Linked DNA regions of Coturnix japonica. The protein of the gene in region 1 interacts with the protein of each later gene in a pairwise test. Links are inferred from orthologs where the notes say so. Each region holds a gene or a part of one and is shown in the gene's direction. Other genes may lie near its edges. The genes, in order: CTNNA3, PKP3 and JUP.

What was found.
Region 2: the proteins of CTNNA3 (region 1) and PKP3 interact in a two-hybrid assay, tested with the Homo sapiens proteins (2 studies listed by IntAct). The link is inferred for Coturnix japonica from reciprocal best matches to the Homo sapiens genes CTNNA3 and PKP3.
Region 3: the proteins of CTNNA3 (region 1) and JUP interact in binary tests that used the Homo sapiens proteins (3 or more experiments, as listed by UniProt). The link is inferred for Coturnix japonica from reciprocal best matches to the Homo sapiens genes CTNNA3 and JUP.

What each region holds. Positions count from the first base shown.
Region 1 is NC_029521.1:8,414,760-8,418,428, reverse strand, and holds the start of CTNNA3 (catenin alpha-3), read left to right. Parts: upstream 1-789; 5' UTR 790-895; coding exon 896-920; intron 921-3,669. UniProt on the Homo sapiens protein: May be involved in formation of stretch-resistant cell-cell adhesion complexes.
Region 2 is NC_029520.1:1,340,287-1,343,931, reverse strand, and holds part of PKP3 (plakophilin-3), read left to right. Parts: exon of another isoform or gene 1-815; coding exon of another isoform or gene 816-854; coding exon 855-1,047; intron 1,048-1,773; coding exon 1,774-1,850; intron 1,851-2,456; coding exon 2,457-3,178; intron 3,179-3,536; coding exon 3,537-3,645. UniProt on the Homo sapiens protein: A component of desmosome cell-cell junctions which are required for positive regulation of cellular adhesion. Required for the localization of DSG2, DSP and PKP2 to mature desmosome junctions.
Region 3 is NC_029542.1:4,306,122-4,309,868, reverse strand, and holds the start of JUP (junction plakoglobin), read left to right. Parts: upstream 1-1,511; 5' UTR 1,512-1,609; intron 1,610-3,747. Other genes in the region: P3H4 (endoplasmic reticulum protein SC65), read left to right, coding at 8-18. UniProt on the Homo sapiens protein: Common junctional plaque protein. The membrane-associated plaques are architectural elements in an important strategic position to influence the arrangement and function of both the cytoskeleton and the cells within the tissue.

The sequences.
Region 1 (3,669 bases):
TTTTTTTTTTTTTTTTTCCCATTCTGGAAATTATTTTTTCATGTATCATCTAAAGGATTAAGGAAAAATACAGTCACTATTTTTGTTGCTTTTATAAAATCTGATTTACTCTCCCTGTACTGACTCAGTAGAGCTATTAAATAATTATATAATAAATAAGAATTTAAGATCAAATAATAAAACATTCTATTACACACTCTCAGCAGTGCCTTATGTCTTAGAAATCTCAGGTGTCATGTGCATGTATTTTACAAATACTCATCCATTCTGCTTTGTATTAATACATTTTTCTTTTCTTTTTTTTTTTTTTTTTTGAAGGCAATGGGCCTTTGCATTTAATGAAATTGATAGGCTGTTATGCTCTGTTTGCCAGTGGAGAATAACATACAACAGAAAGAAAACAAATTTGGTGCCAAAAGATTCAGTTAGAGCCTCATGAATCCTTCTGCTGTCCAGTTCAGAAGCTGGTCTGAGTCACTGCCTTGAGACAGAATCTGGCATGAGACCAGAATGTATGGGAAAACAATAGCCTTGCTGAATATTATAAATAAGCACTAGAAAAATGAGTAATGGAGTATTTCATGTCATTTAATTGTTCAAAATCAATTTTAATAAAGGCTTTTAATTTTTTTCTTTCTTCTTTTTTTTTTTTTTTCTTTTTATTAAATATCTAAATATCTGTGTAGCTGTGCTCTTGTATATAGCTTTAAGGCTGCCCATCCCCCTGCCACCATTCCAGCAGCCATTGTGTCCTGTCAGTCATCCTGAAATACACTAGAGTGCTTGTCAGGCAGTCCCTTGCAGATGCTTCAGAAGCCAAATAGTGAGCCAAATCAGTTGCACTGAAGCTCCCTAACACAAGGATATAACATAGGCAGTTGCTTTAGTGCTGAATATGGACCGTTTGTATTCTAGCATAGGTGAGTGATGTGCTGTTAGCTTTCTACTGACTTAGCAGGAAATGGATTCTAAACTTCTCTAATTTCTGCAGAATATCTTTGGCTCGGCTTTCTAATGCTAACTGGTTGGTCTGTGTCTGCATACAGTTTACTTTCACATTGATCTAAGAAAGTGCAGGTACTGTGCTCAACTGTCTTGCAAACTGTTGGAAACTATTTTTCATAGTAATATTTTTCTTAGTCCATAGCACTCAGTATTCTCAGTTTGGACACATCTGCTGACAGGACAAGTTCTTATTTTAAGTTTGCAGCACTTGTAGAAGAGTGCAGGTAGTTGCTTTACTGGATGTTTGGAGACAGAAGAACTGTATCTGGTGACACGTGCTTAACGTCCTAAGTGCTGTAAAAGTTCCCCGTCTACAGTGCTGAAATTGCCTACTGTAAAGGTTAATATAACCAAGTGTGAGGTTAAAGCAGCCTTTTAACAAAAAATCTTGCAGTCAAGATCTGTACTGTATTTACAGGGCATGTTCTTATGGGAGTAGGTATATGCATGTCAAAAGTAAACAAAAATAACAGCAAACAAACAAAAACAAGTAAAAAAGTCCTCCAAACTGTGATTTTTAAAAAAAAATTTTATATTTTTTCCCCCCATATTTTGAGGAAGATATGAAATTATCTAAAAATCTCTCCCCTTAATTAAGAAGAGGAAATGTCAGGAAAAGGTCCAGAATCATTTTTTACTGCCTGCGTATTTTTCCTTGCCACCCTCTTGTCTCTATAATACTGTAATACTTGTCTCTATTAAAAACAAAGAAACAGAGATCAACCCCAAGAACCTTTTATTACTAATATGATAAAGGATACTGACAAGAGTCTGGTAAGTTAAAGAAGTGGTAATGGTGTCAAAATAATATAAAATTTTGCATTTTCACTGCATTTGTTTGCAAGTGTATTTTCCTATTCTGTCTGCTTAAAAAGAACATTGTAATTATACTTGTGAGAAAACAAACAAAACTCCCAAACATCTACAATTTATAACAAAGTCTTTAGGTAGGTTATCTATACCTTAGAATATAATTTAAATTTTCAGGAACAATAAAGCAAAATTTGCCATTGATTTTCAATTAATGCTAATTTATTGGCTTGACCTAAGGCAAAAAACTATTGTAGATTTCAGAAACCTGAGTGAGCACTGGAGCAAAGAGTAAAAATATCTGCATTAGACAACGTGCTAAGGTTTAAAAACCTACAAACACAGGGAAGATGAATTCTCTGCTCATGGAGGTTTTTCTGATTTAAAAAAAAAAAAAAAAGAATTGAATTTGTAACACAGTATAAATTTGAGATGGTTCAGTGGGAAAGATCTAATCACTGTAGACGATATGTAGTATAGGAAGGTGGGCTGAGAGAAAGCAGGAAGCTCTTGCTGCAAGCAGCAAAGGTCTCATATTTGAACTTTGAGTGAAATGGCTAGTAATGCCCTTCTGCCAGTGAATCGAGTGGAAGCCTCTACAAATTTAAAGTATGGCTATATGTGAAGAAAAAATAACCTGACAATCTTGTGATTTTTTTTCAAATCTCAGTAGAAGCACTAAGTGTTGTTTTCAGCCAACCTACTTCCTTTCATCTGATTTTTAACAGGTCCAAAAGGAATTCACAGTAGAATCAATGTAATCTATTTGCATTTGTTGTGATGTATTTTAAAAAAAAACCTCACATACTGGGAAGTTTCTGCAAATTATGTCAAACACAAGAATTGTGAACCAGCAGTGTAATTAAAAATCTCAAGTCTTATTAAATCTACTTAATGGCTACAGTGAGGTGGTAGGAGTGAGAGACAAGATCTGTATGTTTGCTTGAGGGTTTGACTACATGACCTCCAGAGTTCCTTTTCAACTGTATGATTCTGTGCTTCTGTAAATAGAACTTTATCATGAGGAAGGATATGCAGCGGTTTGAGCTAGGAGAAGAGCTGCAGCTCCTTCAACTAGGAGACAACTGAATTTTTGTACTGCTGAAGAAGGAGAGGGATAAGTTACATTGTTGTCTTTAAGAACACTGGGAGCAGTCTACTTGATGATTCACTGAACAGAAAGAGAACCACTGACATGACTAATTTTTGGTGGCCCAAATTTTATTTCCTTGGCTTTTGTTACAGATGTCTAAGAAACAAATGTGTAGAACATGGTGAAATGATTTGCAGTGACATTTCAAAAGTTGTCTTTTTTTAAAAAAAAGTTATATGGAAGGAAAACTGAAGTTGTCTGTTTCATGTCAGGGCTGTTCACTTTTTATCTGTTGACTTGTAAATAGAATTAAAACTGAAGAATCAGTTCTTTCCATATATTCTCACCTGATTATGAGCAACTGAATCTGTGGAAACTTAGGGCTCTAGCAAGTGTATTTTATAATGAAGCAATAAATTTAACACTTGTATCACCTTTATTGGTGATATTAAGTTTGGTAAAATCTTGAAGTACTTCTAACATTAATTCTTTAATTATCATTCATGCTATCATTGCCTGCAAGTGGAATGTGGATATCTATTATAAGACAAACAACTTGGTATAGAAAGCTTAAACCTACTGCGTAGTATTAGATCAATGCTAGGTTCACCAGGAGGTTACAATATATCCCTTCAGCCTGCACAATCGAGCTACCTTATTACTTTATTATACAGCATCAATGGTTGTAATAAGTCCTGCTCAAAAACAGACAGATATCCATTACTTTTGTGTTTGAAGTCTTTACTGGATAAAAAAGCTTT
Region 2 (3,645 bases), on another chromosome or scaffold:
CCACTGAGTCACGCTGCATTCATTGCCTCTTTGCTCAGAGCCAGCAGCACTCAGCTGCCCCATGCTTTGATTTTTTAATATAATAAACGTATTATTGTTGTTTCTTTGGTAAATCCCAACTGATTTGGAAAGCAAAGCAGGGAGGGCCCAGCCATCGCGCCCTAACAGTGGTGGTGGGCTCTTGTAGGACGTGGCGTAGGGCTTTATCAGGGAGACTGCCTGGTGTTGGCTGGGGGCCTCTTGGAGGTCTAAGGGCTCTAGGGGTCAATGGGCAGTGAGTCTGGGTGATAAATGGAGGGATGTGGGGCTTTCCAAGGGGGGTCTAGAGATGCAGGTGAAGCCACGTGGGAGTCTGGGGGAGGTTGTTGGTGCCTGTTGCTCACTAGGGGTCCGTGTGGAGGGCGGGGGTCAAATGGAGGCTGCAGAGGGTTTTGGGTGTTGATGTGCAGGTTAAGCCTCAGGCAGGCTGTCAGGAGAGGCCACGCGGTGGTCCAGAGGTCAACTCGGAGGCCACACGGAGGCCTGGGGCTTTTGTATCCTTGGGTCTTTTGGGGTCTGTGGGGGATCCAGCCCCAACAGTGTATCCAGCTCCCATCACTGTGTCTGTGGGCACCCCATGGGGCTCCTTTGGCCTTGAGGGGGGCCTGCGTTGCCCCCATGTCTGCTCAGGTGTGCGCGGCACTGAGGCGTGGCGGCGGCGGGGCGGGCCGGGTGCCTCCCTACAGCACAGGGAAGGCTCCACCGCCGCGCACACGCACACATACACACACACACCTGCATAGGGCGGCCGTGCTCTGCTCAGCCCCTCCGCCGTCATGCAGGAGACTAATGCCTTCTTGCTGTCGGCCCTGCAGCCTGAAGCCGGTGTTTGCTCACTGGCTTTGCCTTCAGATCGCCAGCTGGACATTCGCGGCCGAGAAGCAGCTGAGGCCCAGCGGCTGCGCAATGCTCGCGTCCAGGAGCAGGTCCGGATCCGCATGATGCTGCGGGGACAGACGGCCGCCTCGCACCCCGACACCGCCACGCTTGACCCCATGGATAGCAGAGGTGGGAGATGGCGGGGCGGCTCTCTGCGGGTGGGGGGTTCCCGTCTTCCTTTGATCCAAATGGGGGCTTCCTACGCTTGCTTCAGCCTGGGCTGCTTGTCCCCAAGCCTCACTTTACCCCATGAGGGTACTGGGACCCCATGCCCCACTTTGGGCCGCTCTCGTTGGCTCCTTCCCTGGGCTCTCGGCGCTGTCTCGCCTTGCTGGCTGTTCTCCAAGTGCCTCCATTTAACATCTGAGCTCACGGCCTCCGCCCTGTTCATTCGCCCCATTGCGCCTCTAGCTGCGCCCTAATGATGAGAGAGCCCCCCCGGCACCATGCACCCCAATGTGGATGTCCCCAACCTTTAGCTGTCCCTGCTGTGGTGGCATCCAGGTGGCAGTAACCCAGTGGGGCTAGGACACAAGTAAGCCTTGCAGCAGAGCGTGGCTGGCCCCCTGAGCCCCTGTCCCAGCTGAGTAAGGTCAAAGGGAGCTGTGTTGAGCCCCCACCAAGCTAGCAATTACTGCTCTCGCCATTGGAGCATCCTTGTAAGGTGGAGAAGCTGTGGAAGGCGTGCTGCCCCCTCCACAGCCCCTTCCTATACCCCATGGCTGTAAGGAAGGCCCTTCTTGAGCACTCTGGCTCTCAGCCCCCTATCCACCCCCCTGAGGGCAGCAGGGTTTATCCCAGTGTTTATCCCAGCTTGCACAGACCAGTGTGTTATCTCCCATCTCCATCCTGCAGGTGGTCCATATGGCACGACTGTGCGCTCCTCCTTTAGCTCCCGCTCACAGACCAATGGCTTGGACTCCAAAAGCTCGGTATGTCTGAACCAAGCACACATCTCTGTGCTAGCTGGGGATGGCTTAGACAGCCTAGTGTTGATAGACAGCTTAGTGTTGACTTACGTGAAGGTAGAAAGGCCCTATAGATGGATCTGGAAAGGCTGGATCAATGGGTGGAAGTTCAACAAGACCAAGTGTTGTGTTCTGCACTTCAACCTGCACAACAACCCCCGGCAGTGCTACAGGCTTGGGGCAGTGGAATGCTGCGTGGGAGAAAAGCATCTGGGATTTAGTTGACAGTGACTGAATGTGAACCAGCATTGTGCCCAGGTAGGCAAGAGGGCCAATAGTTTGTATCAGCAGTAGCACAGCCAGCAGGAGCAGGAGGCGACTGTCCCCTTGTACTCAGTTCTGGTGAGGTTACGCCATGAGTATTGTGTTGGTTGTTTGGTCCCTTACTATGAGAAACACATAGAGGCCCTGAGGCATGTCAGAGAAGGGTAATGAATCTGGTGAGGGGGTCTGGAGTGCAAGTCTTATGGGGGAGCTTGGATGGTTTTGGCTCTGTCCTTTCCTTTTCCTGTGGTGAGGATGAAGGAATGTCTGTGTTCACCCTCCCTTAACCCCATGCTTCCCCCCTAGCTGTACCAACCCATGGCCAAAAAAGACTTTGGCACACTCAAGGGCAGCAGCTGGTCATCGCGGTCAGCTGTGGACCTCACGCCAAACAAGAGGATGGCAACTGTCAGCAACGGGGTCATGCCGAAGGGCCGGAGCTACGGCGTGGGCTATGCCATGTCACAGGCTGCCAACACCTCCCCACGGCCCAACTCCTTCCATGAGCGCAACTACCGGGCCCGGCAGAGCTTTGACACGCTGTCGCTGCGCTCCCTGCGACTGGCTGATGGGCCACTGCCTCCCAGTGCTGCGGATGACCGCTACAGTATCATCTCAGAGCAGCTGGACCCCATGGGGCACCAGTCCCTCTATAAAAACCAAGGCAATGGTGGCTTCAGCCGCTCGTACACCTTTGAGAGGCGGATGAGCACTGGTTCCAATGCAAAGGGCTCCGACTGGTTGGATGGCGGAGAGGTGCCCCAGAGCCGCACCATTCGGGCACCAGCCATGCGCACGCTCCAGCGCTTCCAGAGCAACAACCGCTCACGGCTCAGCACCAGCTCCTTTGGCAGCATCCAGCCGTCCTCACAGGCACCTGTTGGGAGTTCCTACATGGGCATGGTGGAGCACAGCTCCCGTGCACCCTCTGTGCGCAGCCTGGCTGAGTCCAGCCACCACCTCCAGGACCAGCGCGCCATGGATATTTACAACGGGCACAGCACGCTGCTCACACAGCAGTCAGGAGGGTGAGTGCCAACCAGCCCTGTCCCTTGTTCTCATGAGTCACTTGGCTGGTTTAGGATTAAACTCCCTGGTTGTTGCTTGTCTGCAAGGGAAGGAGGAGGAGAAGTGAGGTGGTTGGCATAATTTGGCCTCACCGTCATGGAGTGTGGTGTGAGTTCATCTTTAAGTGTGTCCTGCATATGCTTTTAGGTCCTAATGTAAAACCATCCTGAGATGTAGAGGTGGGAAGGTGCCTGCTAAGCCAGGAGGAGTGTGATGAGGAGGGAGATGGGTTGGCATGTCTCTTTTGAAATGTGGGTTGTGGTGGGGAGCAGAGATGGAAGACCTTTGGGGGTGTCTTTCCTTTCATGTGGCTTCCAGGTTTGATGACATTGACCTGCCCTCAGCGGTGAAATACCTGATAGCCAGTGACCCCAACCTACAAGTCCTGGGTGCTGCCTACCTCCAGCACAAGTGCTACAGTGACAGT
Region 3 (3,747 bases), on another chromosome or scaffold:
TTTGCAGAGACGCTGTGATGTGCCAGGAGAAGGGGACTCTGGCCCTGACGGAGCAGGATGGTGGTGGCCGAGTGGTGCCATTCTGGGGCCTCCAGGCTGCAGGCTCTTGCTCCATGCACGGGAACACGGGTTCACTGGGAAGGGCTGATCCTGCCCAGTGCTCCCAGCAGAACTGCCCCATCTACAGGGACATGCTGCCATAATTCCCATCCGAGGAGCAGCCGCACCACTGTGCCACCACCTGCCTGGTGCCCCCTGAGCCCCCCCAGCCCCGATGTCCCTGGGAGCCCCATAGTAGCGCTCCATAGCAGCACTGAGATTTGCTGTGCCCCTTCATTGCTCCCCCAGGAGCCACTGACCAGGGGGCCAACAGCAAACCCCTGTGCTGCCTTATGGGTTCTGTGCACGGTGCTGGTTCTGGCAGCAGCCCACCCCCACCGGCAGCTCCCAGAGCCGCCCCTTCCCCCCGTCTCGGTGCTGGGTGCTGCTCCTGGTGCACGGCATCCCTGTGCCACTGTACCCCGTCACCACCTCTGCCCCACAAGTGCCTTCATCTCTCTCCCAGCAGCCCCCAGAGCTTTAAGCTCCATTAATTTAATACTTCCCATCTCGCTTTTATATTTTTCGCTCGTTTATTTTGTATTTTAAACGTTCTGGTGCTGAACTTGGAATAAAACTCGGTCCGCTCTTTTGACGGCCGCCTCTGCCCGGAGCAAATCGGGACGGACACAAGTGCCATGAAAGACCATCTGGGGGGGGGTCGGTCGGGTCGGGACCCCCAGGCCGGGCGGTGGGTGCTGGGCGGCCGCTGGTGCAGCCACGGCGCTGCTTTGTGCCTGGCGGCCGTCGAGCTGTTGGCAGCACGAGGCTCCGCCGGGACTTGGCTGCGGTGACTGAAACCGAGAGGCTGAATCACGGCGTGAGCCGCGGGCGAGGGAAGGGACGGGATGGGGCGGGACGGGACGGGATGGGACGGGATGGGGTGGGATATTATGGGATGGGATGGGATGGGATGGGATACAATTGGATGTAATGGGATGGGGACAGAATAGGATATAGAATGGGATGGGGAGGGGTGGGATGGGATGGGATATTATGGGATATTATGGGATATTATGGGATGGGGTGGGATGGGCGCTGCCGCTCCCCGCCCTGCTCCAGCTGCGTGTCTCCCCCGCTCCGACCCGCAGTGCCGCCCCCCGCCCCCCCTCCATTTACCCCCCTCCATTTTCCCCCCCTCCATTTTCCCCCCGTTGTCCCGACCCGGTTCGGTCCCGTTCGAACCCTCCCGGCTCCGCCCCGTGACGTCACCCAGGTGGGCCCTCGGTGCGCTCACGCCCTTCCCCACCCGCCCTCGCCCCGCCCCCGCCCCGCCCCGCCGCCCAATCAGCTCCCGGCGCGCGGGGGGCGGTCTCCTCCCCGCCAATGGCGAGCGGATAAACACGGGGAGGGGGCGGGGCCCGGTCAGCAGCGGCGAAGACGGACGGGAAGAAGAACCAATGGCAAGCGGGCAGCGCTGTGAGGGGCGGGGCCAGGCGGGGCGGGGCGCCGTTCGCCTTTTGTTCGTGCGGGAGCGGGGCGGGCGGCAGAGCTGCGGGAACCGGGAGAGGTGAGAGACGGGGGGGGCGGGCGGGGGGCGAGGGGGGGGGGCCTGGGCTGGGGGGTCCCGGCATCGAGGGGCTCCGGGCTCCGCGCGGTGTCGGGCTGTTACCGCCCCCCCCCCCCGGGGCAGCGCCGCGCCCGGCTGCGCTCATCCCGTCCGACCGGTCCCGAGCAGCCCCGGGGCTGCGCTCACCGCCGGGCTCGGTTCGGTTCGGCCCAACCGGCCCCGTGCGGTTCCGGTGCTGCCGCTGGGCGCTGCCCCGGGTGGTTGTTCCGGCGGAGCCGCTCACCTGCCCCGAGCAGCCCCGGGGAGCGGGACGGGCTGCGGGAGGGGAACGGGGACGGGGGGGTTAATGAAGCGGCTCCTGTTCATCCCGCCGCGCTGACACCGAACGTCGGGGCAGCGGAACTGAGCGGGGAGCGACCGGCTCGTATCGTCGTCACGTTCTCGTTGCGTTCGCTGGGTGATTAGTTTAATTAATCGGCGCAGATTAAAGCACGACGCGGGGCCGCTGCTGGGAGTTGCCCGCGGAGGAAGGCGTGGGTTGTGCGCGGGGGGACGCGGTGGGAGCGTGGGCGGCTCCCGGGGCGCAGCCCGGGCCGGGACGGAGCCGTGCTGACCTCAGCGCTGTCCCCGCGTCCTGCCGTGCCCTCCCCGGTGCTGGTATCCCCGGGCCCCCCCTGTCCCCGCTCCGGGGCTGTCCCTGCTCCGTCCCTTCTCTGTCCCTGCTCCGTCCCCTTCCCACCCGCAGTTTGGTCCGTCGGTGGGGGGCGCGGATCCCCTCCCGTGTCCTTGTGGGCGTGCGGCGGGGCAGTGTGCGGAGCGGAGCAGCCATTAAGGTCCTTCCACCTCCGAAGGCCGTAATTGTTCACCGCTTTGGAGGATTTCCACAAAGTGGTTTGAAAAACCCATTTGGCAGCGAACTCGGCTTTAACAGGTGGGCACAGGACGCGCCTGCGCAAAGCCCGGGTGGCGGTGGCCGGGGGTCGTTTTATCCCCGGTTCTGGTGCCGCTCGCTGGGCGATGAGGAGCTGCTGGGGGGGGCTGAGCTGCAGCTGCCCGACTCCGGCGGTGGGGAAGCGCTGGCGGAAGCGTGGGGGGGGCTGCAGGCCGCCCCAACCCCCCCCGCCCCCACAAACAATGGCTCCCATTCCATTGTCTGGTGCTGCAGCCACTCCCCTGGGGACAGCGGGGATGCCGGCATGAAGCACCTCGTGCCCCGTCCACATGTGGGTCCCCGTGGGCTGTGCCGTTGGCACCACTGCCCGTGGTTTGTTCACACCTGGAGACCACGGAGCGTTTCGCCTCTGAGCTGTACATGAAGGTCGGGTGCTGCCCTCCTCCTCCTGGGAATCCTTCCTTGTTCCCCCATCAGACCCCCAGCCGGTTGGGGGGTGCAGTTGGCAGCCCGCAGGGAGGAGCTGCGCTGTGGGGCTGCAGTACAGGGTCTGCATGGGGAGCTCACAGGGCTCTAATTGAGGTGTCTGTACCACAGCTCATGCTGCTCCTGAAATTTGAAATTAGGCTGGCTTCTAATTAGCAGGAGTTAAAAAGAAGTTTCATTTCTATTGAAGCACTGCAAGTCTGCCTTGGACTTCTTGTGGCACAGTTGCCAGCTCTGACTCTTGTTTTAGGTGGTGTTTTCCCACCTCGGTGCTTTAGGGCTGTGCCTGGGATAGGCAGCAAATGGGGTCTGGGTGGCAGCTGTGGGTCCCAGTTGGTCTCCTGGGACCTGGGGTGTCCCCCACGGGGCTGTGCCCTGCTGGCAGCGCCTGGCTCGCAGTCAGCCCTGGAGGATGCAGCACTTGAGCTGATGCAGCATTTCCAGCTCCACCAGGGTTGGGTTTACCCCGTTTCCCAGGGACAGGGTTGGGTGTTTGGGGATGGAGCAGGCACGCTGTCTGTGCATGGGAGAGGCTGCCAAAGAAGTCTTAAAACTTGACCTAAGCAGCTTAAAAACACATCTGTGCTTACAGTGCTGCTGGCCAGAGCTGAGCTGCAGAGTGCTCCAAAGCTGCATCCTGTGCTGCCAGCTCAAGGACGGCCCAGCACAGCCCTGGATGCCACGCTTGGCGTGTTGCTGCCTGCTCTGCTCAGTGCTCCCGAGGCCCACATGCTGCAGGGGTGGTGCAGTGCACCCAAAG